4 linked regions of the Drosophila melanogaster genome follow. The protein of the gene in region 2 purifies or fractionates together with the protein of the main gene of each other region. This does not show direct contact. Each region holds a gene or a part of one and is shown on either strand. Other genes may lie near its edges.

Region 1 (8,735 bases), on a different chromosome or scaffold from region 2:
TAACTTATTTAGGTACTAAAGTAATAACAGCCAATTCAATAAAAAGAAGGATTTTAATTTCAGTGTCATTGCGAAAGATTATAAATTAAATTTATTCATATATATAATTAAAACGCATTCTAAACTTTGGATAAATTTAAAGTTTTTTTTTTTAAATTAAACTATAAAAGATGGGTCTAAATATTTGAAGTCATAATAAAATTGTCATCATAAGGTAAGTTTCGCTACTCAAGTGGGCTCCAGTTTTTTCGACTATCAAACATAATAGCCGAAAAAACTGCTCTGATGGCTTTATTCGAAAAATCCCATCTCTATATATTCGTACCGTTATGTTTTATCAAAACAATAGAGAGTATATTGTACGTTGTAAAATATACATATATTAAATCTGCATTACTTAAAATGATTCCTCGTATTACAACTACTGAGTGTATGCTAGTCCTTGGGTTCTGTGTAAAGTAAACGAATCGTACACGCGCTGCAGCTCAGACAGACGATACTCCTCCAGGCAAACGATTCCCTGGAGCGACGGAGATAGCTTCAGCGCGCACGATAGGCAGTGGACCACATGTCGTTTCTCCTGCTCCTTGATGAACAGCACATTGAAAACCTCAACCTGCAAAGAGTGCACAAATGATTAAATAAACTGCATTCATATCACCTTTGGAAACTGTATAAATATGTTAATAATACTACGCTAAATACCTCGCATTGTCCGCAGTAATGGGATGCTTCGTTCTTTCCGCGTCCATTGAAACGTATTTCCACACCTTTCGATTTGACATACTCTTGTATGTGCAATACGTTTTTCAACGTTTGCAGCAAACACATTCTGAAAATTACAAATTACATATGTATGCCCTATAGTATCTGCATAATGGTGATTCCTATCATTTGCTAACTCACTTTATCAGCTCGAAAAGTTTGGTATCAGACACTTTAATATTCCTTGCAAGATTCCAGCTTAAATGCACCATCGGCACAATGCTCTTGAAGGCCTGCACTTTATTCCACTCATATCGCTCGATGGCAAGAGAATACTGACGGGCAGTCAAGGGTCCAACATTCCACGCAATGTTGTTGCACCAACCGATCGACTGAACCCAATGGACGCATCTGAAAGTAGGTTTGATTGTTAATACATCATCCTTCCTTTCATATTCAGTGCTTACCCGGCATTCACCCAAACCAAGTCACCGGGCTTTTGTATAAATCTATAAACTGGTATATTCTCCTTGTATAAATCCTCCAGGACGGGCCACCACGAGCCGTGCAGATAGCTAATGTTGTTCTTCTCGCAAAGATTGTGAACTCCGCCCCAGTAGGCGTCAGGGACGGCAAACCATTCACAGTCGCCAGGACCGATGTTGATGTTGATTGAGCAGAAGTTGTTGTTCTCTTGGTGGCCAGGCGTCCTACTTCCGGGCACCTTCATGTACAGCTGAACGGTGTTCATGCCCAAAATGACGTGGCCCACGTGTGATAGCATATTGGCAGCGGATATAACTCGCGCAAAAGCTGGCAGTTTTTGTAGCTCTGTTAATTGTGGTTTCCATTTCTTTTCATCGGAGAGGTCCACGTTGGTCCCGAACCTAAAAAAAAAAGCGAAATAAGCATTTAATTTATGTTCATAAAGTTCGTAATGCAGACATAAATGGTTTGGAGTTTCTATTACCTCAACATTTTGCTGTTTATTTTGTGTTTTTTACGTTTGAGAACAATGTTCGAATTGGATACCGAGTCCTTTGAGTCTGAATCCGACATTGCTTGCGAGCCGGGGAAACCTTTATCGCTTTCATCCTGCGGTAAAATAAGCTACACGATAAAGTAAACTTGTATTCATGTTAAAGAGGAACCAACCCAACGAACATTACCTTCAAGCTGTCTTGAAAACTGGATGCCTGATATTGGGCATATTTGGCTATGGTTGTGTGAGACCGATGGGAAATGCAGGCCCAGACGCGCTTACCCTGCGAAGTGTCCCAATTTTCATCGGGAGACTGGTGCACTTGTGTCCGAACCTCAACACTATGGTCCGGGTTGGCTTCCACCAACGTTTTGGTCGAAAAGAGACCGAGATCTAGCTTCAAGACGCCCGCTAAGCCGCGTACAACGGCAATCGGATGTTTCAGGCAAAACTCCTGCAACTGTGGGCTGAACGCGTGCTTCTTATTTTCTAAATGAACAGAGGGTGTGGGAGGCAGGAGTTGATCTCGCGTCAGTTTCTGCGGTGGGCAATCGGGCGGAGATGGCGGCGGCGCATTCACTTGCAAAATGGTACAGTGCACGGGCGGTTCATCAATCGGCAGCAGCTTCACAGCTACCATCAACTGCTTCGAGTCCATTTGTATTTTGAACGTGGTCGAGATGTCGGCGTTGTCACCGCCAATAAAATCATGCCTCGAGTCCTCATTGTTACTCAGTGCATCCTGGCTCAAACGTTCGAGCTTGATGCTCTCATTCTGTTTATAAATATCATTCGAGATGTCGTCGAAGGTGTCAAGAACACTTTGCTCCGAACTTTTGTTGCTCTCCGGCATGGCGTTGAAGTTGCGCTGGTTTAAAGATTCCGAAATGTCTGTTTGGAGTGTTAAAAAGTGATTTAATACTTTAAGATATATACTATTTAAATTGGTCACTTACTTATTAGATTTTGCGCTGATGTCTGACTGTTGTTTTGTGTTACTTCTTGTTGGCTTGTGCCATCTTCCTTAATACGTTTCGAAGGTATGGGACTTTGGCTGAGTTGGCTATGCGGATAAGGTGGTGGCGGTCCCTGTTTAAAAACATGATTTAGTTGATTGCCCACTGATTGGTTTAGGATTAAGGAATTCACCTGTACTGGACTTTGCTTTGTGACCTGTCTTGGTAGCATCTGCGCTGTTTGTTGTTGGCGAGAGTTCATTTCTAATGATATTGGCAGGTTCCAAGCTTCTTCGATTGAACACAGCTGGCGGCGCTTGGATGTAATACTTGGCAATGGTGCTTGACTGAGCTGGCCCTCCAGGAAAGTGATTCTCTGAGACAGGCCTTTCGACAGTCCAATTGTGTCCTTTTTCATACGTATTGCTTGTTTTTTTCGAATTAACGAAGACTTCTTCAAGCAAAACAAGTGTGTTAGGTATTGGAAATGGCTACAATTGCATATATAAATTTACCTGGAATGATATTTGTTTGGTTGCATTTAAGTAGCAAGCATAGGCATCTCGTAATTGACCACAGCTCTCATAAAGTATACCCAGGTTGGTCCACGCGGCTTTATGGTCTTTATCCAGTTGCACAGCACATATGTAGGCTTGAAGGGCATCCGTGGGTTGATTTTGTTGCTGATATAAGACGCTAGAAGTGCATGTGTAGAATACAAATAAGATAGGGGCCAAGCTAAACACATTCATTGTTATTTTACCCGATTGAGCACCAAGTATCAGCATTCCCCTCACTTTTTTCCACCGAGTTGCGATATGCTAGGAAAGCATCATGAACCTTATTGATGCCGGCGTAACACCTTCCTAGTAAATATAATGATTGTCCACTCTTTGGGTCAGCTTCGATTGATTTTTGTAGAAAATTTAATGCGTTTGCTTCACGTTCCTTTTTTTCGCCTAGGCATTCTACGCAATGGTACATCCATCCTATAAGGATTCAATAAAAAGTTATGTCTCTACCAGCTTAAAATATAACTTTTTAACTTACCTAATTGTCGATAAACATCTGCTTTGAGCTCCAAGGAGATGTTTTTCTCATTTAGAAGAAATTCGTAGCCATCCTTTGCCGCCTTGTGCTTGTTTTGAACTTCGTACAAATGCGCGATTTGAAATTTGACTGCAAAGTATTAATAATGAATAAAGTTTAAGACACGGGGTGAACGTACTGCAAAATATTTAAATTCTGAATGAATCATAGAAGTTTGCCTTCATCGTATTACTTGATAATTCAATGTATGAGGACTTTTTGCATATAAGTTGTTTATATATCAATAATAAGATAACATTTTAAGATGATAAGTAAATAACTGAAGAACAGAAAAACCTTTTCAGATCACAGTTTTAATTACACATGAAACTTATATGCAAAAGTTTATAATTATTCAATAGATCTTACCCTGAAGTTCCGAAAAGGTCGAAGGATATGTATAAAGCAGCGCCAATTGTAAATGTTTTAGGGCAATATGGAACTCCCCGCAGTGTTTTAGCATAAGACCTAGACGCAAATGAACTTCATTTGCACATGTAAAATTGGGACTTAGGTATAAAAGCTCCTGAAACGATTTGATGGCCCTGGAAAAAAGTAAGTAAATTAATTTTTTTATTCGTTGTTCTGAATTATTTGTTATAACTTGAATGTATTATTTTAATTTATTAAATTTTGTTTTATATTTAATTTATAGTAATTGTTTACAGTGAGCGGTGTTTACATAAGTGCATACATACTTATGTGCATGCAGTCACGTACACACATGCACGCGTATGTACATACATACATACAAATAACCATTTGAACAAACAAATTCAAGTAACATACTTAATTAAACTAGAACTCCGATGATAAGTGCACAACAGTAAACTTAAATGTTAATCTCCTAAAATATGCCTGCAAAATGCAGGTTTTGTTTATAAATAACAATAGAACTTGCAGCCGTCGTGTCGGCAGACATGTCTGCGTGCACTCAAAAAAACGAGACAGACCGTTTCATGGCTTTTTATCAGATAGAATTGCACTGAGAATCATTGATTATTTGCGTCGGACGCGGTCTGCCTAAATGTTAGCTTTCGAAATTAATAAAATTAAACAAAGAACACATTTTACCCCGCAATTCAACTAACGACCTTAAAGGGGGGCACTCATTGCATTTTGTACACAGACACACGCACACACACGCACCGTGTACATACATGCATGCATGTAACGAGAATTTATGTATTTTTATAACAGCGAATTTGCAAAAACAAACAAAGGAATACAATGAAAACACATATATTCATTTTAATTTTTGGCAATATTACATCGGTTTAATTATTATTATTGTAAGTGTTAATGTTTACAGCATCCATTTGTTTTTTTTTTCTTTAGAACCCAGACAACTATGAAAAGATTCAAAACTAACCAGTAAACGCACTTTTTTTATTCGAAAAAATCTCGGCAGTCTTAATTTTAATTCGTTGTGAATTGTTTACAAATATATATATAATATTAGTGGCAGTGTTGTTTCGTGTAGAATCTATTTAGTAAACAATTTAATATCAATACAATAGGGATGTGACAGGCGCGATATCGTGATTAAATGGGAACGATATGAAAGCGAAACGTATACATCGATAAGAGCCATCGATGATTACAATTGATAAATAAATGTGCTTCCACTGCACATGCATCTACGTTTAAACGATTCATATCAAAATCGCATGTAATGGGTTTTAATTATTAAATATAACTTAATTGTTTTTGAACGTAGCATAAAGATATTTCTTAAATACAACAAATATATTTAAGCAGTTAAAATATTAAAAAGATAAGTAAACTTACCATTTAAAGCACCGAAGTTTAAAATAAGCAACGCCTATTCCATAGATAAATGCATGATTTGTCCAGTAATTGTTTTCTCGGAATCTTAAATACTTTTGGTACGCTGATAAAGCTACAAAAAGAATAAGATATTAAAAAACAACTCAATTCTTTCAGGATCTCTCGTGATGGATTGAAGTGTTATGTTATTTATGCGTCGTACTCTGCAGTTTAGCAGTATTTAATGTTAAAGTGTGTCATTAATGCGGCATTCTACAACTATGTTCCCGAGTTTGGAAACAATTGTTCCACCTGACACATTATGTAAGGTAAAAGAACCAGATATTCACAATATATGAATTTGTGAGGACTACAAGCATCCTATATATCCTATAGATGTCATTTGCAGAGTGCACTGATTGTATCTGGACATGTGCATCTGGATTTATGTATTTACCTTCGGAGTATTCGCCAAGAAGAAGATGCAGGTGGCCAAGTTTGCAAAGAGCGTTAACGTAGTGTTCATCCTGGTGTTTTTCTTCAATGATGGACACCTTTTCCTTGGCATCTTGCTCGAAAGGTTTGGTGTCGTCATTGTTTCGGGAAGATGTGTTTTCCATATGTTCACCTGCTTGAGTTGATGGCTCAAACTTTTGTATAGCATTTTTATTATCACTGCTGTTCTTTGATTCGTGAACCTGACCATTTGCAATGTAGTTTTGTAAGTTTGTGATGGTCTGCTGAACGAGATTCCTTAATTCCGCATTTTTCGAATTGGACAAATCCAAAAAGCCGTAGTATCGACTGAAACGTAAATATTATTAAACAAGATTCGAGCGGGTGGCATTAATCGTACCTATCCAGTTCGCGGATCAGGCAATCATCTTCGAAAGTTAGTTGCCCCATTTTTAAACCAACTGTTAAATCTACTGGGTTTTAGAAGCGTGGGCAAAATACAGCGTAGTTTTTAAAATATTTTTTTATTTATATTTTTAGTTTAGAGATGACACTAAAATATTCTTAGAGATGATACATTTTTCTATCGTCGACGTGTCACGCCTTTTTTGAAGTTAGTTTCTCACTGCGCAATCGATAACGGAACTGGAACGATTGGAAAATTGTGGGAAACTGTGACCAAATAATTTTTATTTTCGCGTTAGCTGATAACAATTTATTATACACCAAATCAATACAGATGCTGTTTACAATTTATGTTTTAAAAATTTGAATCTTAATGCAGTTCTTTTGATACTTTTCAGATAAAATATACATTTAAGTTATGGAAACTGATCTTATTGAAGATCAAAAAATAAATTGAAAATTTAGTTAAAAAAAATGGAAATTTATTGTGCGAGTTATCGCTAGAAGAAAATTAAATGTGAATATCCATGCACAAACTCCTTTGGCCTTAGATGTGTTTGCTCGGTTTTTTAGGAATTCCTTCTCACTTTCAATGTTTTCATTAACTGAAAGATAAACAAAATTTTAGGTAGTTTTTAATTAAAACTATATTATTCAAACAATCAATGTAATATTTAAATATCAATAGAACAATGAATTAACTTACAAGGGTCCTCCGTGTTTAAAAAATCTTCTGAGACGCTTTCCACGTTTACAGCATCTAAAAACAATTACTCGGTAAATAAGTATAGCAAAGGAAAAACAAAAAAATTTAAAAATTTTGTAAAAGTAATTACGAAGTAGAACAGCCGTATTCATTTTCTTACCAGTTTCTGAGTCCGTCAAATCTTCTACCTCAGTTTCAATCTCATCTTTAACTGAAATTAAATATTCAAATTAAAGTTATTTTAGAAAATAAAACTGAATAAATTAGACTTACTGGGGTTTGCTGGGTCTGGAAAATACACCGCATCAGGCTCAACGAATTCCTCCACTGAAAAATATTTAAAAATGTACTAATTAATTATATGTAATTAGATAACAATGAAAAATAAAATTCCTGATGGATTTATAAAAATTTTAGTAAAGTACCTTTGATATTTATTTGATTTTTGATAAATGTGTTAAGATAACCCTTCTTCCCAAAAGAAAAGCGTTATAAATTTTAGACCTTAAAATTCCGGCTAAAAGTGGATCTTTTTAGTTTTATCATAGAAATATTCTTATCAAAATGCAGTTAATCTTTCTCGGGAAAGCAGAGGAAAGTTTCTACGAAACTATTTGTTTCTCTTAATCCGCAAACGATAAACTACTTTTGACAACAAAATAAATATAGCAAATAACTTTCGGTTTACATTACCTATTTCTGCGATTTTTCTTTGACGATAAGGTAGAGATACACTGTAGTTGTTATTTTGAATGTCCGCAATCTCTGTATTCTGTATTATTGTATATATCCAACTTAAATATGGATTTAATTGCGTAAACCTATTTGGGCGCCGAACTTCAAGATTAGATTCCCGTTTATTTTTCAATGGCAAGCCATAGGAAATGATTCCAACTAAATTACTTTCATGAATAACACCATAACCGGGATATATGTTTTCTCCATCCGCATTTTTCCAAACCTGTGGTAGTAATTTTAATATTAATAAAATCGTTTTTCACATAAAAGGATATGTTTTTACGTAAGATTCCACACCCTCCTCCAATGGAAAATCGGTAATATCATAGTCAGCGACTAAAACCCATTCAATATCGTTTCGCTCGGAAAGCGGAAGTTGCGTACTGAGACTTAGGATCGCTATATCATTGTCCAACGATGAGAAATTGAACTGCGGATATACGTCTATGCCACCAACGAGGTATATCAACTCGTTCAAATCTTCGCCTTTGAATGATACCGCCAACTCATCAGCATTTAACAATTCCCTACCATTTACGAAATCGTTATCACTCAATAAACACGATGCTGATGTTAAAACCAAGCGACTCTGAATGATATTGCCATAGCAATGGCCGTCGATCAAATCTCCTTGAGTATTCCTTTTGCGCACAAGGACTTGGTACGAAGGACGAAAGTACTCATTTTGCACGAACGGAAAAAAGCACAAGATAATCAGAGCTACCGAAATCATAGTATCTTTGGCTACGCAGGCGGGAGAATCTTGACTGTCTTCACGGTTTCCTTACACGTTTAAGATAGTAAGCAACCTCAGATGCACAGATGCCGAGAGATATAGCTTATCTTTTTATATAATTTGCTTAAGTACAGCGGAACCCGCATTCTTGGGTCTTAATTCAGTTGCGATAATTGAGCATAAACAGGTGTG
Region 2 (8,470 bases):
GCTACTTCGAGGACATGCACCTGCGTTTTCTGTTCCTGCAGTACCCAAGCATTCGTAATCTGGAATTACACTTCATTGGAAGAACCGTTGGGCGCATCGACCAAGTGGATATCAAATTCAGCGACAGGAGCTTTGAACAAACCGTGGTGAAATGCTTTTACCCCCTGTCATTTTCACAATATTCCTGTATTCTAAATGTGGATCCCACCTTGATTCTCATCATGCAACCCGATTTCTTCGGAGTCGGTAAAGTAACCCAGAGAATTTCTAGGTATATGAAAAGGAAGGTTCCACTCGAAAACGAATGGAAGCCTTGCTTGTCAAGTGTTATTCGATCTTTTGGTGTTCCCATTTGCTACACTTCGATTTCAAGGGCTCAGGCAATTTCCGATTTCGCGGCCATCACATTGTCCGCTGAGAAGAGCAAGATTGCCATCGAGAGAGCCTACAATATAATGGGCAATCCCTATCGTGAAATATTGCCACTGCACAATCCAGCACCAGAAGATACCGAGAGGATTGTGTATGCCAATAACTACCTCGAGGTTATTTTCACAAGCAAAAAAAAATGCCAATGACTACCAAAGACTATATAAGGCTTAGTTTAGTACACATAATACCTTCGACAATACTGACATTTGTTATTAAACAGCTGCTCGTCAAATACATATTCTAAGTTACCTGATTACTGCCACAAGTATCAAGTTAGATGCATTAAAACTACCCAAGACTGTAGAATAACTACAATTAGTTGATAATATCGAGAACAGTATTCAGTTTCGAACGCGGCTTTGAATGTCGCCCTTTAATTTAAACATGTTTGTTTATCCATTTACATTTTTGGTAATTCTTTAAGAATAAATTGTTTAACTAGTTGATAGCCTACATTTGTAATAAGTATAAATGCTCAGTTTCTCAATGCAGCCACTTAACTCTACGAGGAAAACGGTTACAATAACTTCAGAAGGGTTCTTTTTAGGATGTGGAAGCTTTGATCTAGAATGTCTTCTTGGAAATGACAACAATTAAATCGATTAACCAATAGAACGACTGGTGGAGATCACCCTCGCACAAGTACGGCGCCTTGGTCCATGCCTCCACGCGGTAGCCACAGTTCTCCAGCAGCTCCATAAACCTGGCCGCCTCCTCCTCGAACGACGCCTGTCGCCCGTTGTTCTCCAGCAGCGGGCGCAGCGGCAGATGCGAGGTATTCGTCTCCACGTAGTGCATGTAGGGAAGTACTAAGGCCACAACTGCTCGACCATTGGGAGCTAGTGCCAGGTGAATGTCCTCGAGCAGCTTGAATGAATCGAAGCAGCGGTCCAATACGTTGAGGCACAGAATCAATTCCAGGTTCTGCAGACCGTCTATCTCGGTGATTACGTTGAAGTTCAGCTTCTTCAGCCGATCGCGCATGGTCCAACTGGCCTCGGTGGCGAAGACCCGCAGCCCGGCACTTCCGCTCAGCTCGGAAACGGTGTTGGCCACGCGCAGCGAAATCTCACCGTCCCCGGCTCCGATATCCAGCAACGTGACCTACGATATGATGGCAGATGAGTAGTGGTCAAGACTAAAGGCTTTTACTCATCTTACAGGTTCTTGACCGCTGGCAGGCTGAAAGCCGCCTGCTACTAGCAGCTTGCGAAACTGTTCCTCGGACAGTATGAACATGGAGCCGCGCTTCAGGAACCCGTTGATGTCCGTCTGGGTCATGAAGAACTGCAGGATTGAGCGAGCCAGGGCGTGCCACAAGTGGGTCCAGATGTTTGCCGAAAGCGCCTTGGTGCGCTCCAGCCAGCTCACGGTGGTGGCATCCGGCTCGAGCGGCACGAACTTGGACTGGAATCTCGGCGGCAGCTCGTGGTTCAGGCAGTACCACTGAAATGCATCCAGAATTTAGGAAAAATCATATTGTTTCGGGATTTCGAGTTACCTTCCGAGTGTCTATGTCCTCCAGAGAGTTGTCGTTGTGGAATTTGGCGTGGATTACCCTGGCCAGGGTGCCGCGGGGACGATACACAGCCATGCTAACAGAATAGTCTATAATTGTGCTTTTATTTACATTTTCTACTTCTGTGTGTTTAACTTAGTTGTGCCATCATTTTTCCAGTTTGAAGAACTGGAGTACGGTATTTTTCCAGGGCTGGATTGCAGAGTTGCACTTTGATCAGCTGAATGCGATTGGTAAAGGTATATCGATATGTAGGCGTGACAGCCTAATGTAAGTGTATTATTATTTATAATGTATAATTTCAGAAATTAATTAATTAATTTGTAGCCGCATAAAAAAAATTAAAATATGATGTTATATTTGATTTGCCATTTAAAAGTATAAATACTTTGTAATATAAGGAAGACTTTTATATTTATATCTAATAATTGTACTACTCGCTCTGCAAACGAACGCACATCGTTCTCGACAACATTGACGCCTGTTCGATAACATTGGGGCGCGATGCACGTTGACATTTTATTTAGCTGTCGAGTAATGTATACAAAATAAGCGGCGGCTATTTTTTGTTATTTTAATGAAACGCATCAATCCGCGATGAGCACGAACGTTGTTGTGAGCATGGAGGAGAAGGCGGTGGCCGACGACCTGCCGTACTTCCCGGAGAAGTTTCCGGGCAAGGTGTGCTGTTTATGCAATCTCGGCGAGAAGAGTGCCTTGGGCCAGGGCGAGATTCTACAACTGAAGGCGCCCGCGCCCGCCGAGATCAAGGATAAATATCCGACGGATCGGCTGAGGGAGGACGGATCCAGGCTGTTATACGGGCCTAAGCAGGCCGCTTCTAGTTCGGGCGATTGTCACTACGAGCTGGACAAGATTGGACAGCCGGACGTCGTGCATCCCGCCGAATTTCTTGACGAGGGGTTCGTCTACGTGCACCGCATGTGCATCATGTGGTCGCTGCGCAAAAGTCAGATAAGCGATGCAGATGGCGCGTACTTTGCCACCCACTTCGCGGAGTTCCTGGAGCAAAAGTGCAACTTTTGTGGACGCTACGGGGCCTCCATCAACTGCAAGATGAACTGCCGCCAGGTGCACCATTGGCCGTGTGCCGCCGCTGCTGGGTGCCTTCTGATCCTCGAGAGCTTTACGGTCTTCTGCACGGAACATTTGAGCCAGGTGCCTGTGATATGTAAGTGATTCTTGGGCAGCAAACTCTCACAGAAACTAATGGAAACAAATGACTTACAGGCAGCGACAATAATGTGGAGTGTCTGTCCTGCTCCTCGCTGGGGGATCTGTCCAAGCTGATCATGTGTAGTACCTGCGGAGACCACTTTCATTCGACCTGCATTGGTCTGGCCAATTTGCCGGGTAACTACTGTCAAGTACCATCGTACCATTGGTTTACATGTTTACATGTTTAATGCTTCCATAGATACGCGTTCTGGGTGGAACTGCGCCCGTTGCACAAAATGCCAGATTTGCAGGCAGCAAGACTCGAACGACACCAAGTACGTTAAGTGTGAGCAATGCCAGAAGACTTACCACGCCTCCTGCTTGCGACCAGTTATCTCAGCCATCCCCAAATATGGCTGGAAGTGCAATGTAAGCAGATATTGACGGATATTAAGTGTTATCCAATACTTATGGTATTTATGTTCCTTCTAGCGCTGTCGCGTCTGTACGGATTGTGGTTCAAGAACTCCTGGCGGCGGCAGCTCCTCCCGCTGGCATAGCCACTACACAATCTGCGATTCGTGCTATCAGCAGCGGAACAAGGGCTTTTCCTGCCCGATTTGCCAGAAAGCGTACAGGGCAGCATCGCACAAGGAAATGGTCAAGTGCAGCTGGTGCAACAAGTACGTTTCACTCGCTTCTGCCTGATTAGTCTTGCTTATTATATGGATTCGTTTCAGATTTGTGCACAGTACGTGTGACGAAGAGGCGGATTTAACGGCCTACCACAAGAAGAAGGAGCAAAACCCAGATTACGACTACGTGTGTCCGAATTGCAAGAGTAATTCGTCGGGCCCGGGATCATCCCAACAGACAATCGACTCGATCGTGCTGTCCGCCATGGATTCGTCGTCGGAGCAACTGAGCCTCAAGGAAATCGAACTTGACCCGCTGGAGGGCAAACCCACAATGGATCCATCGAGCGATGAGCTCCACAAGCTACCCACCGGCAAGAAAAAAGTGTGCCTTACGAGTGTTCGCGGTAGAAGCGGAAAGTTCGTCCTACACCGCATGGGTGTGATGTCGCAGATCAACAAGAAACGCAGCACCCGAGGCAAGGGGCGCCAGCTTGCGCTGCCCACCATCTCGAGCGATCGCTGCCTGAGTCGCAGCATGGAAACAGATCTGACCAGCGACAAAAAGCTGCTGCTCTGCTCGGCGCGGGATAAGTTTATCCAAGCGCAAGACATCTGCGTAATGTGCGGCTCGCTGGGCATTGAGAGCGATTCCGTGATGATCACCTGCGCACAGTGCGGCCAATGCTATCATCCGTACTGCGCCGGCGTGAAGCCTTCGCGAGGCATCCTGCAGAAGGGTTGGCGATGCCTGGACTGCACAGTGTGCGAGGGATGTGGCAAGAAGAACGACGAGGCGCGCCTGCTCCTGTGCGACGAGTGCGACATTTCGTATCACATTTACTGTGTGAATCCTCCGCTGGAAACCGTGCCCACGGGCAACTGGAAGTGCTCGTTCTGTACACTGTGCCAGAAATGCGGTCGCAATCCCACCGAGAAGAGCGAGTTCGGGGACTCCAACATGCTCGAGTGCCCATCCTGCACCAGCCAATCCTCGTGTCCCGTCTGCAAAGTCTCGTACAGCAACGGCGAGATGATCATCCAGTGCGAGCACTGCGAGCTATGGGCGCACTTCCACTGCGACTCTGTCAATGCCCAGCTGACCATTGACCACTACGACAACAATGTGTACAAGTGTTTCAAGTGCCGCTGCTCGACGAGGAGCACTAACTCCCTGGCGGATGCCAAGTTTGGTAACGAGGATTCGCTGGCCATAACTCCCCAGGGCAGCAAACCATTTGTGCACATCACAGCCTCCTCCGGGCCGTCTTTCGATTCTAAGAGTGGTGCCGAGCGAAATCATCCTACCTTATCCGGCGATATGCCCGAGTCTGCTCCAGAAGCGCTCCACTGGATTGACGGAGTGTGCCTGAGCGAAAGCGGATTGGGCATGATCAAGTCATTGTCCACGGAGATCAAACGCAAGCGCAAAATGCGACAAGCCCTCGGCAATGGCAAGGATGGACAATTGGAGGCCGCCGCCGAGGAAGCGCTGGAAAAGTACAAAGACGGCATGGTCTGGGATGGGACGGAGAACGCTATTCCCGAGGGTTTCACCATCTCCATTAACGACGAGGGAGTGAACATATTACGCAAGAAGCGACAGCGCAATCTGCAGAAGCTGGGCATTGGTGGATTCTCCGTTCGCAACCGAGGTCTCAAGAAGGACAGCGAGGAGACGACGGCCGTTGACCAAATAAATTCCCTTATGACCATGGACAAAAAGAAGAAAATCATACGAAAGAAGCAGAAGAACAAGCTGATTGAAGCCTATCCCGTGTACTTGCAAGAGGCCTTCTTCGGAAAACCTCTGCTGGAAGGTGGAGAGCTTGTCATGGCCGATACAGATTCCTCTGACGAAATTGATGCGTCCATGAAGGTTTACTTCACGCGGCCCGAGGGCAAGAGTCCTGCCAACCAGGACACACTGGCGGTGAACAAGAGTCCAGCGAAGACCGTGAAGAAAGTTAAAGCTGAGTTGAAAACTGAGAACAAAACTGTTTTCATTCAGCAAATGCCCATGGGAATCCAGAACAAAAACGGAACGACGCCAGTGTCTAATGTTTTTGGTAAATGTTTAACCAACCCACTGACCACTTTATTCCCAGGTTGTATCGTTTACCATTTTTGCAGATCCCTTGCAAGCGGAGATTTCGAACACTGTCTTTGCTAACCGGCATCCTTTGGATGCGTTGGCTTCACCAAATGTTCCGGAACTGGACATGGCTAACTCTGTTAGTACGGTTCCATCAGCTGAAGTCATTGAAAAACCAATGCGGTGAGCCTCATGTCCATATGCCAGTCTATTCTAAGCTTATTAATTTGTTCTTTTTTCTTTCTCAAAGGGAATCACCTGCGGTCCTGGTCGACAGTTTCATGGTCCCCAACCAGTTGCCACAGGAACAGAAGTTTCACAATCAGCTATATTTGGGCGGAAATACTTTGGTTAATCCCGCCCAGCAGCTTCAGTTCCGTCAGCAGGCACCACAAAATGCCAATAAGCAGAATATGCAAACTATAATGAGCCAAGTCGTTTTGCAAACCGAAAAGAGACCAGAGGAGGAGCAGAAGGTTGTGGAGCCCGTGACGGAAACCCTGAACGCTGGCACTCAAAAGACGGCGGAGAAAATGCGCAAGGATGAGGGTATGAGGGTGCATTTAAATAGTGTAGGATTCAAATGCTCATCACCCCATTTGTTTTGCAGATCTTGGGCTCATGGCCACCATTTCGGCCGTGCTGTATGCCAATACTGAGCATCCCAACCTGAAGGAGTTGTTTCCGATTTGGAACGACCGCTGCAAGCAGATTCTGAAGAGGTGGCGCTCGCTGTGCAACGAGAAGAAGGCGCCGTTCTTGCAGAAGGCCAAGGACAATCGCTCAGCACTGCGGCAGAGGCGGGAACAGAACAAAATACCTATGCCACCGAAACCACAGAAGCAGGAGGAAATGGGAAGAGTGTGGAAACAACCGCCCAAGCTGAAGGAAGACCAGCCGAACATGTTTGTCACGTACAGTAAGTGCTGCAGCTCAAGACTTGTTTTAGTTGCTCTAACCCTTGTTTTTTCGTCTAGATGGAAACGCCTACGATATGGGCAACTATGTTGGTGGCTCGGCGCAGGCAGCGTCCAATAATCCCAATCCGCATCACGTGATGCCGAACGTTAACGATAATCTGGTGATTAAGGCCACGATGCAAAGGACTCAGGTGCACACGACAGCAGCCAGCACCTTGAAAATGACCACCGTGGACAATAGGCTGGAGTTGAACACGGCGGTGTACGGCACGGAACCCATTGGCGACAAGAAGCTCAGGAACCTGCTGCAGAAGAACAGCACGGAGCCGATGCTCATGGGGGCCAACTCGGACTTGTTCTTGGGCAACGATGTAATGCGGCTGGGAATGATGCAGAACACACCCATTACGCAGAACAATCCCATGCTGAGCATAAGTGGAAAATCTCAGCCATCTGAAGGCAGGTCCTTGGAGCAGGATGTGAAGTTGGGCGAGCCGCAGGAGGCAACCTCTTCCGCCGTGGAGTTGGAGAATGTCGGATTCAGCGACCTTCTGGGAGGACTCGGCGAGGGCGACGACGACGACCTACTCAAGTCGCTCACTTCCGAAATGGGAGACGACTTCAATATCCTGGAGTACGCGGACCCAGAACTGGACGTCAATGTTCTCAACTCCCTAGATTTTGATGACAATGAAAAGTGCTCTACATAGGAGAAGCGGAATCGTTTAAATTGAAATAAAGAAAATGCAATATTTAATAGAAAGCGCCACTTTTGAATGCAGCCTCTTTTGGCGCCAAACCCCATTCTTCATCGATTGCCGTATACCATATCGAATTTGTATCTCTTCGGCACAGAAAACTGGTTTTCTACGCGGTTTGCACTGTTGTTACTTTTTATTTTCAGCTAACCATCCAGATGACCAGATAATGCAGTTGTTCAGTAGTTTCCACTCAATCCTAATTGTTTGCTGTGTTCTCTTAATTGATGGAACGCACTCGAAACTGAATCTTAAATATGCCATTTTGAGGCAAAAGCAAGCAGCAAAGGCAACGCAAAATGACACTTTGGGTATGGATGTGGGAGAAAGTTTCTGCTGGACGAGCGTATCATGTCGATGTTTTTGTTTATGAAGCCCACCAGCAGAGAATCAAATATGATGCCCAGAAGACCATGAAGGTGATGTTCTACAAGAACAACACCAAAACCATGGAGACTTCGGCCTACGACGATGCCTACGATCTCAGTGGCTCGGGTTGCTCGCCCACGGACAAGTTTGCCATAGTTCTGCATGGATGGATCCAAAGTTGTTCGGACGAGTGGGCGCTGTCGCTTATTGAAAGTGAGCATTTTTTGCATTTTTTTCAATGCCAAAGTTGAAAGCTACTCGAAATATGCATTTTAGGACTCAGTTACTACCGCGGCGGATGCGTGATATGCATAGACTACAGTGTGGTCGCCAGTTCCTCGTACATGCGGTGGGTAGTAGTAGTAGTCTGACCCCAAATTCTCATTATCCGACTTTTAAAGGCTGTACACAAACTTTGACACCCTCACCGGCGCCATATCGTCCATTATCCTAACACTGTTCAGGCAGGGATTCGATCCAAAACGAGGCTATATGTTTGGCTTCAGCTTCGGCGGACAACTGGCTTCGGCGGTGGGAAGATCCCTACGGCCACACCACATTAT
Region 3 (7,125 bases), on a different chromosome or scaffold from region 2:
AAGCTCTAGATCATTTGTGTGAATGGAGAATCTGAGAATACGTTCATGTTAAATAGCCAGGATCTCCGACGGCTAAGTATTGTATCCGTCGACTTGTCCCAATTTACAGATATTCCTTTGGGGCGAGATATACAGATAAGATACAACGATATAGAAAGAGATAGAGCCTCAATTTGGCTATTTATAGAACATAATGTGCGTCGTCAGCGGCGAGTTTTGTTCTTTTTTCAAAAACAATATCTATTCTTAGTCGCTGCTTGTGCGTTAATACCATATTTTTGTAAATACATACTAACATACATTCCCGCTGAGACATAAATTTTATAAAAATTGACCAAATGCCATCTGAGAGGCCGCAACATCAAGGTGAGGAGTGGGGACCATCAGGCGATGGTCCACAAACCAAAAATCAATGCCTAGGGGACGCGAACAAGGCGTACAGTGCGGTTCGAAAGCGAAAAGCGATCCTTTCATAATCACAATAGAAGGGATTTCTAGTTGGTTAACATTTTACACATTATAAGTACAAGATCGTGAAATCGTTGGGATCATCTTTTGAATGAAATGAATTAAATTTAGACTGGCTATTTTCGAAGAGTTTCCGCAGTGAACTTTATTTATTACCTCCACCTAATTATATCACAGATATATTAAAAAAAAAAAGAAAGCCACCCAAGGGGCCGGCAGAATAACTAATTTAACTAGTAATACAAAACTTGTTAGGCGGAACAGAACATAGTATGATTTATAATAATAAAACTGAAATATTGAAACATCCGCGCAAATAGGCATGGATGTATATACATTTCCGCCTTCGAGAAAGTCACTCGATTTCTTCTTACAGTCCTGAAACGCACCGCTTATATACGCAAATAAAGCCATATATTTGTGTGGACAATGGGATTAATCGCAGATCCGCAGATAAAACGACCATATATCTTGTTATGCAGTTTATATTTTTTATACATAGATATATTTTGTTGGTTTTCGTCGGTGATTTTTGTATCTCGCATCTAATTGATAACGTTTTGGGTAAATTTATGTTAAAAAGTAATTACAATTGATTTAGAACGGGGCCAGCACCGCAGATATGCGCCTGCTGACATATATATTTATGCTGAATTTGTATGTTTACATACGTCTGTAGATCATAACTATGCATTAATTTTAACCGTTATTTTAATATCTTTACTCGTTTAGCTTTAGTTTAACTTTTACTTTTACTTTGCTTGTGTGCATTTTCTCGTTCGTGTTTTGTGTTCTTTTCAAGTTTTGGATTTTGTTTGTTTTTCGTTTACTGGGACATAAACGTCGAGGAGGCTAATCTTCATCTTAAGGAAAACATTTTCTATATCAATAATAATAATAATATTAGGTAATAAAAAAAAAATAAACAATTACATACACATTTTGCGTAATATTAGGGGGCTTTTGTAGGGTATAAGGGATAGAGAGGAGAAATGCAAACAAACGCAATCACAATGAAACATTTTTCGGATGGAGAACGGGGGAGACTTTAGAGTCGGGACCCTACTCCAGTTTCATCGCCAGGCCGGGTGGCGGCGGCGCCTCCAGCTGCTCGAGAAAGAGCTCCTCCAGCGGCCGGTCGCTGGTAATGCGGAAGAGGAACAGGTGATCCTGGCACTTCAGGCTGATCGATCGCAAAGCGGGCAGACGCAGCAGCAGTTGCGCAAAGCGTCCATCGTCGCCCGGATGTTCCAGGCGGCAGTGCTCGTCCAGGCAAGCGTACACCTTCTCGCGGCACATCTCGATCTCCGCCCGGCTCTTGATCCCGCGTATGTCCGGGTTGTACAGTATGATGGCCTTCAAGCAGGACAGCTCGCGTCGGTCGAGATTCAGCCGCTTCATCTTTACACTCAGCTCCGACAATATGCGGTCGAAGATGGCTGACACACCGGCTTTGATCGCACTGTTGCGATGGTACGAGAAGCTCTGGTTGAGGAACAGCTGCTGGGGCTGAAGGCCCGGTGATCGTCGCTCAAAGGAGCCATCGTGGCCTAGTCCACCGCCCCCGCCGCCGGCACCGCCGTCATCCAGCGAAACGATGCTGCACCAGGCCACGTTCGCAATGAGCAGCTCGATCCAAGCGGCTTTCAGCAGAATCACCTGGTCGTCCAGCGGCACCTGGGCAAAGTGCGGCATCATGCGCGCGTATTCGACCATCTGGAAGAGCTGTTTGTTGACCACTTGGCACAGGGCCGACACGGCACCCTTGTAGTCCGGCTGGACTGTGGAATAGGGACCAACGCGCAGGAACGTCAGTGCACGATCGCCGCATTGGGTCTCCGCTCGCTGCTCGGCCTCTATGATGCGCTCGATCGAGAAATCCCTGGACACGCTATTGGTCATGAAGTCATCAGAACCGTTGCCGCTGCCCATTCCGCCAGAAACGCCGCCTCCTCCTCCTCCGCCTTGAGAGCTGGATCCGCCTACCGAACCTGGACCGCTACTGCCGCCTCCGCTGGCGCTGAGCCTACCCGCCGCATTGCGGGCGCCGCGTTGACGCTCCTCCTGGACCGCTTCGCGCTTCATGCCGCAGGTTAGGCACTTCTGGTAGCGGCAGTACTGGCAGCGGTTCCTCTGCCGCTTGTCTATGATGCAGTTGCGGTTCTCCCTGCAAGCGTATGTGAGATCCTTGCGCACTGTGCGTTTAAAGAAGCCCTTGCAGCCCTCACAGCTGTACACGCCGTAGTGCTTGCCACTGGCCCGATCCCCGCAAATAGAGCAGAGGTGCTTGCTGCCGCTCAGCGGATGGTTAGGCGGATACTGCTGCTGGACTGCAGCGGCGGCAGAGCCTCCAGCCGAATTGGGCGCCTGCGCCATTTGGGCATCTCCAGCGCTGTTGTTGTTGGAGCTGGCGGAGTTGGAGCCGGGCAGCACGTGGACCATGGACATGGCCTGCATGAAGGGCACGGGACTCTCGGCCTTGGGCGAAAAGCTGCTGTTGTTGCTGTCGTTCAGCTGCGAGATGTCCGGCTTGACCTCCTCCTTGATGTGGCTCAGCCGAAAGCTGGCGTCCTGGTCGCAGTTGTCCATCCTGGGCTTGTGATGTGGTGCTGGGTATATTGGAGGAACTGGGGGCAGCGCCTCCTCCGCCTACCGGTTTCTTCTTGCTCGTTCTCTTCGTGTGTATGTGGTGTGTCTTGGCTCGCTTTCGCCTCTCTGTTGGGGTTTCACTTTGCCAACGCCACCGTGTCCGTCCGTCCGCTATTGGTCCGTTGGGCCAAGTGGAGCAGGTTGCAGTTTCGTTGTTGGTGGGGTCGTTGCTGCATTTACATAATCTTGAGCCGATGGAGCAGCGCACTTTATTCGCTCGCCTCCAAACAATTGCGCTTTTTACCAACAAACAAAGAATGCCAGACTTTCTGACTAATGAATAAATACCTTTTTTCGCGTCGACATTTTTTCTCAACAAAGACAATCTCACCACAGCGACGCAACTCACCAACGTAGGGATGGACTGTGACACAGGTTGCGTCGTCACGAGTCACAGTCACGACTGTTAAACACTGTATAAAATTAACAACGGCGATGGTATTACCTTAAGTCATATGGTATATAACGCATCTATAAAATTACATACTCCTCTTTTTAATTAATGCACGACATAAGTACATATATCGGTCTCCCAATTGAAGCACGGATTCGTGACTGGGCGCAATCGCATCTCTAATTCACCACAAAGTGGACAGGGCTGTTTTCCCACTCACAGAAACAGTTTTAAGTGGGCGTTAATGACCCAATTAAAGCGCTAATGCCCATCGCACCTGCCGCAAAAATAAGTGTTTTTACTTTGATAACCAATGCGCAATCAATCAATTAATTAATTTAGTCGAAAACCAGAAAACGGGAGTAGCGACAGCCCTGGCGGCGCCATTGCAAAACTCACCGCACCTACGGCGCATGCAACCCTGAGTCAGTCTGGCTCCCCTCCTCACCGCCTTGCAAACCACACAGTGCACAAATAATTTAGCGCCGCTGCAATTATGCAGAATAGAAATGCAAAATGGAGACGTGAATGTGCGCCAATTTCACCGCTGCCGGCGGCAACCTCGGCCTCAAATCGCAAACGCCGTCGCCGAGAATCGAGCGGTTAGGCTGCTGAACCGTGAATCCCAAGACCAAACGGAACCAGAATTGGGCGAAATGCAAATGGAAGTGCAACTTACTTGCAGCCAGTGGCTTTTGATGCGCCGCAAGGTGACGGTTGTTTATTTACTTTTTTCCTTGGCTATCAGTTATCAGTGCTCGCGAGCACACACACACACAGGCACGTCACTGACACGACAACACCACACGACGCTGATTTAATTTGTTGCAATCTCTATTGTAATTGTAGTAATTGAGTCCATCCCATCATCACAAAGAGACGCGACGCGGTAATTGGCATTCGCAAGAAGAAGCATTTCGCGAAACAACAGCTGACAGCGTGGTGAGAAAGCGATTGCGGGGGGCGAAGAACTGGTTTGTCTGTGGTGAGTATACTGTCGCGGTGAGTTGCCTTGGTTCGGTAAAAAACAATGGCACATTATAGGCTGTTTCCACTTCGCTTAATGGTCAGAAAATCTGAAAATTAATCCGTCATGGATATTTATGTATTTTATATATTTATGCGATAGTTAGACCGCAGTAAATTTCTAAAAAATGAATTTCCGCGATGACCAAGAAGCAGGGATTCAGTAATTCAAGAGCACCCTAACATCTGCCTTAAAATTCGATACCGGTTTAGAACAAAAATGGGAGATTCAAAATTTATATAGAAAAAAATTTGCTTAACACTATCAAATTAAGAAGCTTATTTTAAAACAGTTTAAGGGAATGGAAATAGAGTTTTCACATCAAAATTGACATTCAGGACATATATTCTTAATATTTATTTGATTATTGGTATACAAAAAATACACTAATATGTGATATTTTCTATCAGTTTAATTTTCTGATATCGCAATTTGGGGCCTCAGCCCTAAACAATTTATTTCTATTTGGGTCTATTATCTTGTCAAACCCTTTAGTTGCTAACCCTGTACCTACCGCTTCCTTTATAATGAAATGTATCGAGTTCTTTTGTTTAGCTCAGCCTTATTACGTTTTGCCTGTCGGTTTCGCAAATATTCGGTTTTGATTGGTTTTCAGGCGAATAGTACGATAAGCAAATGCGACTCGTTTGTTTGTTTACGGCTTTTAATCAACATCCGAATCCGAACATTCATGTAGTTTGCTGAGTTCAGCATTGAGGACAGTAAGGGCTCCGATCCGCTGGTTAAGATATTCGATCTCTTCTCGGTACACGCCCGTCTCGTAAAGTAGATTCTCGTACTCCCTCATAATTCCAATATAATCGTCACTGCTGCTGTTGTCGTTACTGTTGTTGTTGTTGCTGCTGCAGCTGCTGCTGCTGCTGCTGTGACCTTGGCTCCGATTATGGCCGCCCCAACTGCCACCCTGAGCCGATGCACTTTCCGGAAACTCCTCAAAGTCCAGATAAAGCTGAAAGTAGGCGGCATCCTGGCTGCGGCAGATAGGGCAAGTCCTTGATCTGCAAAGCAGACGGAATCCGCGTATAAGACAAAACGTTTGAGCTCGGCGATAAGATTTGGGGCACTGCCACTGATTTAAATCACTTTTGTATCATTTTCATTTCTGATTGGTGCATAAATTAGAATATTATATCAGTGGCACATTTCATTTTCGTTATAGCTCTCAAGTCCTTAGGATCACTTTTACTTACTGCTTTCTCCAGTGGTCTAGGCAGTCCTCGTGGAACGCGTGTCCGCAGCTGCCGGCTTGTATATTGTCCGAGGTGCGAAACCGCTCCGAGCAGATCGTGCAGATGACGTTGTTACGGCCCATTCCGCTCCGGTTGACTTATACCTAGGTCGATTCGATTCGCTCCGATCCAATCAGGTTCGATCTCCCTGTGCCGTATTGTTGCTCGGCCGGTGACAGGGGACTGAATGAATGCAAGTCGCTGAATCGAGCGTTTTGCTGATAAGCGTCCAGGCAGCCACAGTACACTCCACTCGGTCCTCCTCTTGTCGTCACTCGTCGGCCCTCTCGAGCACTCCCCTGCACTGCCGCACTCCAGTGCCAGCCCACCTTAATAACCCGCCCCACAAATGTGGGAATTTGAGCCGCTAAATGGGGGCAACGATGGCCTACGCCCAGCTAAAACCATGTGAGATAAAGCTCCGTAACAAGATTCGAACATTTAATGATCCGATAATCCAGAAACCTAAAGTTCATTTAAACTATCAGCTTGGCAAACTTTCAGCTCCGCAGTTTGAGAACAAAGAGCACGTCATTTCAAAATATGATTAGCCCCGTATTTCTTGCTTTAAAAACTGCAAAGTGCAACATAAGCATAATTTTGTTGGAGATTTAAGCAACCACCAATTTTAAACATCATTAATAAGTGCATTTGTATTTATGTAAACAATTATATTTTTATTTATCTTCATATTCGATTTGCTTTTATGTTCTTTCAAATGGTCGTGATGGGACTAACAATAGGTTCATTTACACAGGCCTACGTTGGAATGGAATGTTTGTGCTGAGAGTAGTGGATAAACAATTAAGGAATGACTTCGGTTCCAAGTAGAATTACAGTCGTGCAGAGCCACGATCTGGTGTCTTTAAGGGGTAGAAGTTAGCATATAAGGTAGAAAGAAAAGGGGTTAATACTAAGCGTGAGCGACCATAAATATTTACGAACTAAACTATTACTAAGTAGTGTAACATGTGTATGGATTTTGGGGGCTTATTAAAAATCCAGGCTTAGGCTTATGCAATATAGGGCGGAATAAGAATATTAGGGCGAAAAGTAGAGGGGCACTCAAAAGTAAAATGGTTTGATTATAATCAAAATATTCTAGCGATCAGTATAGTTGGGTAAAAATTACAATTTGGTATACGATTTACAGTTTATGTTTAGTGTACAATTAACTTTGAAATTAGCAATAAAACGGAAACTAAAGGTAATCGATGGCACAATTTTAACGCATTCTCTGTGCTATTTGGCGAATTCTTGGAATAAACTAATTTGTATAGAAAAATTTCTTACGATATGGAACTACAACGCCATATAGGCTTGAAGTTTCTTGAAAA
Region 4 (6,028 bases), on a different chromosome or scaffold from region 2:
ATTTTTGTTGTTTGATACTCTAGGTTAATGTTAAAGGGTCGTCGTGTACGAGTGGAGTCTGCATTTCGTTTGAATCGGCATAAATCCAATAAGTGTGTTGGAAAGATGCATTTTAGATGAGTTCCCGATTAAAGCGAGCAGCAGTGAATCCACTTTTGCAGGACTTCAAGGTGTCGCACCATCTGCCAGTTGACGGCTGGCGGAGATTGTAAATCCTCTCCACTAATCACAATATTCCCTATCATTCTTTGCCCATCTCGTTTGTTCACAGGATATGATACTCTACCAATAGATTCGATGCAGGGTCTGGAGATCAGCAGCCCAGTGGGCGGCGGCGGTGCTGGCGGTGCTCCCGGCAATGGTGGAGCTGTAGGCGGAGCTAGCGGCGGCGGTGGTAACATCGGCGCCATTCCGCCTAGCGGCGCACCAACTTCGCCCTATTCCATGGACATGGACGTTGGCGAGATTGATGCCGGTGCATTGAACTTTGACTTGGACGCCATGCCGACGCCACCCAATGACAACAACAACCTGGCTGCCTGGTACGATACCGATTGTTAGACAAGCCGAGCTAAGGGTAAGGGTCGAGTATCCATTCGACCCCATAACATAAAACACACGAATTCCCATCCCTGCACAATAGCCCTCTTCCACCGGCTTTGATTCCATCCCGGATCCCGGAATCGCGATCACCGAAACTTGACTAGATCAACGAAGGTGTGGATTTTACTTGACAAATACGAGGAGCTGCGGCAGGTCAAAGTTCTGCTTCCAGAACTGAAGTCCGTGGGAGAAGGCTATTTGCTCACACACCATACCCCGCGACAAAGCATACACACACGCATACATGCATAATATTATACATTTATTATAATGCGAACGAAACGGCAAGAAAAACATATTATATGATGCATTACATATTACCCACGTAAACGAAATGGAAAATTAAACAAATGTTTGCAATAGAACTCGTACATTTCCCTTCATATGGCGTTTTTCTTATTTGCTCCACAATTGGGTGCCGCAGAGTCACGGCTTGGAACAACGAGCCCTAAGTTCGAAGTTCGAACCTACTTTAAGATATTTCCAGTTTTCAAAAGTACTTGAAACAGTTTCGTAACAGATTAACGAAGGATGGCTTTATTAATTGAAGCTATACATCTACAGGTGCTTGCCGAACCACTTGTGGTCCACGGGCGAGAGCCAACGGTGGCAGCCGCTGAGGTTGTTCTGGATCACGTACTTCATGGTAAAGGGGTTCTCATTCTGGCGGGTCTGTTCCTCCTCGGCGACGCGCTGTTCGTCGAGCATCTCCTGGGAAACGACGGTGGCCTGGAAGGGCAGCTGGTTGGCCACCTGCTGCAGGAACTGCTTGACCTCAACGAACTCGCACTTGCCGGCTATCTCGACAATGACGCGACCGGCCTTGATGGGGGTCACGTAGTGGTCGATGGCTCCCTTTCCGCCGCCCATCCGTTGGCCCTGGCCCTTCTTAGTGATCGGCTGCCAGGGTGCGGGAACGCGCCATGTGGCGAACATAGTGTTGACGTTCATCTTGCGTCCGATGGTCAAACGCATCATTTCGTAGTGGCCCCAGCGCAGGCGCCCTCCGCCAGTGGCCACGATTGCGTACTGCTTATGGAGCAGCGTGTTGTGCACCATCTCCGGACCGCGCATGTATCGCAGGCGCTTCTGCATCTTTGGCGGACGGATGTTTGGCGGCAGCTGGGGCTGGCGCTCAATGACCCTCAGCTTGGGTCTCTCCGGCTGCTCCACATCTGGGGGTTCCCACATTCATTCATTTATTGCTCTAAATTCATTGTGCACATTTAAATGCAACTACTTACTCTGGTATTTAATAGGCGGAGCGAAATACTTAAGACCGGCTGTGTTGACAATTGCCATGTTGCCCGCTGCAAAGAAAAGTTTAAGTGGTTTGTTGCAAACTGTTATCGGATTGGATGTGGCTAGGCAGGAAGCGCCACTGCAACTTACACGCAAGGCTTTGCTTAAAGAGCTGGGAGACTAACTTTAATGAGAGCATGGTGAGTTTATGTCAAAATATATTACTTATTTATAAAATTGTATTGTGCAAAGATGTGTTGCATCAACGGCCACCGTTGCCAGATCGAGCTAATAAATGTGGTGCTAAAAACATATATCGATAGACCACCGATTGGTCGAGTGAGCTGACGGCCCTGTCCAGACTATGGTTTATTCTTGCAGTTGAAAATGTGCCATATTGCACGTGGAACACAATAATTATGTTATGTATTAAAAACTTCTGAAGTTAACGAAAAATGATTGCTGTACAAACGTTATTCGATTGCAACCGCCATGGCGATATGTTGAAATGGGATGGGAAAAGTGGTGGGTTTCTGAGTGGAAAACCAGGGATGGGTAAGAACGTTTCAGGGTAATGGTCGTTTTACCATCTGGTAACACTGCTCTGCATACACGAAAATAAAATTTTTTTGACTAATCGTGCATGTTTTCGCTCGGTAAAAAAAAAAGCAGGCCGCGCGAGCCCTAGCTAGCTAGACCGCCGCCCTTCCCGTCCCACGAAACGCAGCGCATCGCATCCGGCGTTCCGCGTTTCCACTTGTGTGTTTGTTATGAATATACCGAAGGTGACAACATCGCTTGGTGCCGCCGAAAAGGCGAAACCCGAAAGAGTAGCATCCGTGGCCGCCGCTGCCTTCAATGCGGTCAGCCTGCAGAAGCGCAGCGGCGACGACACCGCCACTCCGGCGGAGGATCCCACGCGCAAGAAGGCCAAGACGGAGCTGCTTCTCGGAACTGGAACGGCAGCGCCCAGTTTGCCCGCCAAAGCGTCGAGCACCGCGCCGCAGCAGCTCCTCTACCAGCGGAGTGGACAGCAGGCTAAGGCGCAGGTAAAAGCTGCGTCGGAGCCGCAGGATGTCGAGACGGCGGACGGCGTCTGGGACGCCCGCGATCAGCAGATCATAGTGTGCAACTTCGGCTCCGGCACTGAGATGGGTGCCATCAAGGCGGAGGACGCTGACAAGCAGAGTGAGTACAGAATCAGCACTCCAAGGAACAGTCAATCTAACCCTTTGCTACACCGAAACACAGCCTTTACCAGCTTTACCAAAAAGGAGGGTGCCTCATCGTCGGCCTCGTCATCATCGTCAACCGCGTCCGTCATTTCCATCGAGCCCAGTGGCTCGGGGCAGGATCATGCTGAAAACTCCGGCAAATCTGAGGACCTCGACTACGTACTGATGCCAGCCAGCGGCGCGGATAGCTCTACATCTGTGGGTAACTCCACCGGAACGGGAACACCAGCAGGAACGCCTATTGGAGCTACTACCTCCACCATTATTTTAAACGCTAACAACGGAACGGCAGGAGTCAGTGGAGCCGGCACCACTACAATCCTCACACAGAAATCCGGTCACACGAACTACAACATCTTCAATACCACGGCCACTGGTAGCCAAACGCCCACTACAACATTGTTAAACCGGGTGAATCTTCACCCCAAGATGAAAACCCAGCTGATGGTTAACGCCAAGAAGCTGTCGGAAGTAACGCAGACCACGGCGAAAGTGTCGATTGGCAACAAGACTATATCGGTGCCGCTGCTCAAGCCGCTGATGAGCGCTAGTGGAGCGGCCACAGCCGGAGGAGCCACGATTGTAGAGAGCAAGCAACTGCTGCAGCCGGGCGGTCAGGTGACTACCGTAATGAGTGCTGCGCAGCAAAGCGGTGGTCAGCAGGTCCACCCGCACGTCCATTCTCATGCACATCACAACTTTACCAAACTTATCAAACGCGGGCCAAAAAATAGCGGCACCATTGTCTCGTTTTCGGGGCTACAGATCAAGCCGGCGAACACCAAAATTGTGGCCACCAAGGTGGTGAGCAAAAAGATGCTGCAACTTCAGCAGCACCAACAACAGATCCAACAGCAGCAGCAGCTTCAGCAGCTGCAGGTGACCAGTGGTGGAGGCCTGGCTCCGCCCACAGGCAGCATAGTGACTATCACCACCACCAACCCCAGCCAAACGTACGCAATGGTTCAGGATTCCGCAACTGTGGGACCTGCGGCCCATTCGGAAGACGATGCGCCAGCGCCTCGAAAGATTACAGCCTACTCGGAGAACCTTCAAAAAATTCTCAACAAGAGCAAGTCCCAGGAATCGACTGGAGGCCCGGAGGAGTTCACCAACATCAACAGCGTGGTGATTAAGCCGCTCGACAAGAATACACTCAATTGTCCACCCAGCTTTAACATCTTTAAGCAGCAGCAGCACTCACAGGCTGCTCAAAGCCAATCAATCTCCGCGGTAGGCAGTGGAGCAGGCACACCCGTGACGTTTACCATGGCTTCGGGGAATGCCTCAGATCTGGCCACCACCTCCACCGTTTCCGTTTCGGCGGGGACCATCTGCATAAACAGTCCGATGATGGGCACGCGGCCAATAATCTCCATTCAGAACAAGAACATATCCCTGGTGCTGTCCAAGACGACCATGGCCCAGCAAAAACCGAAGATGATAACTACAACCACGTTGTCCAGTCAGGCGGCGCTGCAGATGCATCATGCTTTGATTCAGGATTCTAGTGCAGACAAGGCGGGATCTTCTGCAAACTCCGGATCAGCTACCTCGGGAGCTTCAATGCAGCTGAAACTAACGACCGCCAATACGCCCACCAAACTCAGCGTTAGTCTGGCTCCGGACGTAGTCAAGCTGGAAGAAGTTGGCAGCGAATCTAAAGCAAAGCTACTGGTCAAACAGGAGGCGGTTGTGAAGGATAGCACTGGTACTCCGACCAGTGAGGAGCGGGCTGAGGAGATCGGCACGCCGGAGAAGCGTTTGAACGCCAATGCCACAATGACGGCTATTAACCAGGTTCAAAATCAGTCCGCCAATCAAATTCAAATGGCCACATCTACCTCAACTGCCTCGAATCCCAGCACACCCAATCCTACAGTGAACGCCACACCTATGAACAACCAACGCTCGGCAGCGGAGGATAATGCACTTCTAAAGCAACTGCTCCAAAACAACAGCAGCAGTCATAGCCTCAACCAGATAAGCATCACTTCGGCTCACGTTGGTTCCGCCTCAGCTTCGGCACCTCTTTCCGCCCGCAAGGTTATCAACGTACGGGCGCCCAGCATGGGGAAGGTCAGAAGTTTGGAGGATCAACTGGCACGTCCGGTGATTCCTCCGGTGCCCACTGCCACGCAGGCGGCAGGTAGTAGTAGTAGCAGTGGATCTGTGGCCACGTCCACCACCACCACAACAGTAGCTAGCGGAGGAAGCAGCCAACAGGTAGCCACCGCCTCAGCGACGGCTCTACCTGTTAGTGCGGTCGCAATTACCACACCAGGAGTGGGAGGGGAGGCAAAGCTGGAGCAGAAATCCGATCAGCCAGCAGCAATTATGCAGAATCAGAGCCAAAACCAGGCGCCTCCACCACCACCGCCACCACAGCAGCAGCAGCAGCAGCAACTACACCAGCCGCAGCAGCTGCAACCGTCACCCCACCAAGTCAAGCAGACTGTGCAGATTGTGTCGAAGGAGACGTCGTTCATCTCAGGACCCGTTGCTGCTAAAACACTAGTGACGGAAGCCACTTCGAAGCCGGCTGAACTACTACCTCCTCCGCCTTACGAAATGGCCACTGCTCCTATATCGAACGTCACCATATCCATATCCACCAAACAAGCGGCTCCGAAGGAACTGCAGATGAAGCCCAAGGCGGTAGCTATGTCACTACCCATGGAGCAGGGCGACGAATCGCTGCCAGAGCAAGCGGAGCCGCCGCTTCATTCGGAACAGGGAGCTACTGCAGCGGGAGTTGCACCTCACTCCGGAGGTCCCCTTGTGTCTGCGCAATGGACCAATAACCATTTAGAAGGAGGTGTAGCCACCACAAAGATACCGTTCAAGCCTGGAGAGCCTCAAAAACGCAAGCTCCCCATGCACCCACAACTGGACGAAAAGCAGATCCAGCAACAGGCAGAGATTCCCATAAGCACCTCCCTACCAAC

Evidence for each region.
Region 1: the proteins of Lpt (region 2) and Utx purify together in Drosophila melanogaster (affinity purification with western blotting; one study listed by BioGRID). This does not show direct contact.
Region 3: the proteins of Lpt (region 2) and usp purify together in Drosophila melanogaster (affinity purification with western blotting, with the first as the bait; one study listed by BioGRID). This does not show direct contact.
Region 4: the proteins of Lpt (region 2) and trr purify together in Drosophila melanogaster (affinity purification with western blotting, with the first as the bait; 2 studies listed by BioGRID). This does not show direct contact.

The regions. Positions count from the first base shown.
Region 1 is NT_033779.5:10,272,291-10,281,025, forward strand, and holds Utx (Utx histone demethylase), read right to left. Parts: upstream 6,522-8,735; 5' UTR 6,409-6,521; coding exon 6,359-6,408; intron 6,307-6,358; coding exon 5,960-6,306; intron 5,636-5,959; coding exon 5,524-5,635; intron 5,262-5,523; exon of another isoform or gene 5,105-5,261; intron 4,872-5,104; exon of another isoform or gene 4,522-4,871; intron 4,278-4,521; coding exon 4,102-4,277; intron 3,823-4,101; coding exon 3,694-3,822; intron 3,633-3,693; coding exon 3,407-3,632; intron 3,340-3,406; coding exon 3,159-3,339; intron 3,098-3,158; coding exon 2,837-3,097; intron 2,777-2,836; coding exon 2,644-2,776; intron 2,579-2,643; coding exon 1,875-2,578; intron 1,816-1,874; coding exon 1,676-1,815; intron 1,593-1,675; coding exon 1,173-1,592; intron 1,117-1,172; coding exon 907-1,116; intron 833-906; coding exon 706-832; intron 617-705; coding exon 422-616; 3' UTR 337-421; downstream 1-336. Other genes in the region: CG34043 (uncharacterized protein), read right to left, coding at 6,829-6,968, 7,070-7,123, 7,230-7,280, 7,343-7,396, 7,763-8,030, 8,091-8,540.
Region 2 is NT_033778.4:23,896,122-23,904,591, forward strand, and holds Lpt (lost PHDs of trr), read left to right. Parts: upstream 1-2,439; 5' UTR 2,440-2,548; coding exon 2,549-3,143; intron 3,144-3,202; coding exon 3,203-3,325; intron 3,326-3,389; coding exon 3,390-3,559; intron 3,560-3,622; coding exon 3,623-3,813; intron 3,814-3,870; coding exon 3,871-5,834; intron 5,835-5,898; coding exon 5,899-6,043; intron 6,044-6,110; coding exon 6,111-6,409; intron 6,410-6,470; coding exon 6,471-6,779; intron 6,780-6,837; coding exon 6,838-7,490; 3' UTR 7,491-7,540; downstream 7,541-8,470. Other genes in the region: CG17658 (uncharacterized protein), read left to right, coding at 1-578; CG5339 (uncharacterized protein), read right to left, coding at 997-1,536, 1,594-1,878, 1,934-2,026; CG13562 (uncharacterized protein), read left to right, coding at 7,708-7,849, 7,914-8,120, 8,184-8,256, 8,309-8,470.
Region 3 is NC_004354.4:2,037,857-2,044,981, forward strand, and holds usp (ultraspiracle), read right to left. Parts: upstream 4,456-7,125; 5' UTR 4,191-4,455; exon of another isoform or gene 4,012-4,190; intron 3,789-4,011; 5' UTR 3,605-3,788; intron 3,531-3,604; 5' UTR 3,058-3,530; coding exon 1,531-3,057; 3' UTR 942-1,530; downstream 1-941. Other genes in the region: CG4325 (uncharacterized protein), read right to left, coding at 5,203-5,557, 5,750-5,871. UniProt on the Drosophila melanogaster protein: Receptor for ecdysone. May be an important modulator of insect metamorphosis. Plays an important part in embryonic and post-embryonic development. Binds to ecdysone response elements (ECRES) such as in the promoter region of s15 chorion gene.
Region 4 is NC_004354.4:1,886,363-1,892,390, reverse strand, and holds the start of trr (trithorax-related), read left to right. Parts: upstream 1-2,440; 5' UTR 2,441-2,615; coding exon 2,616-6,028. Other genes in the region: arm (armadillo), read left to right, coding at 272-561; mRpL16 (mitochondrial ribosomal protein L16), read right to left, coding at 1,162-1,778, 1,848-1,913, 1,996-2,044. UniProt on the Drosophila melanogaster protein: Histone methyltransferase that acts as a coactivator for the ecdysone receptor during development. Specifically trimethylates 'Lys-4' of histone H3, a specific tag for epigenetic transcriptional activation.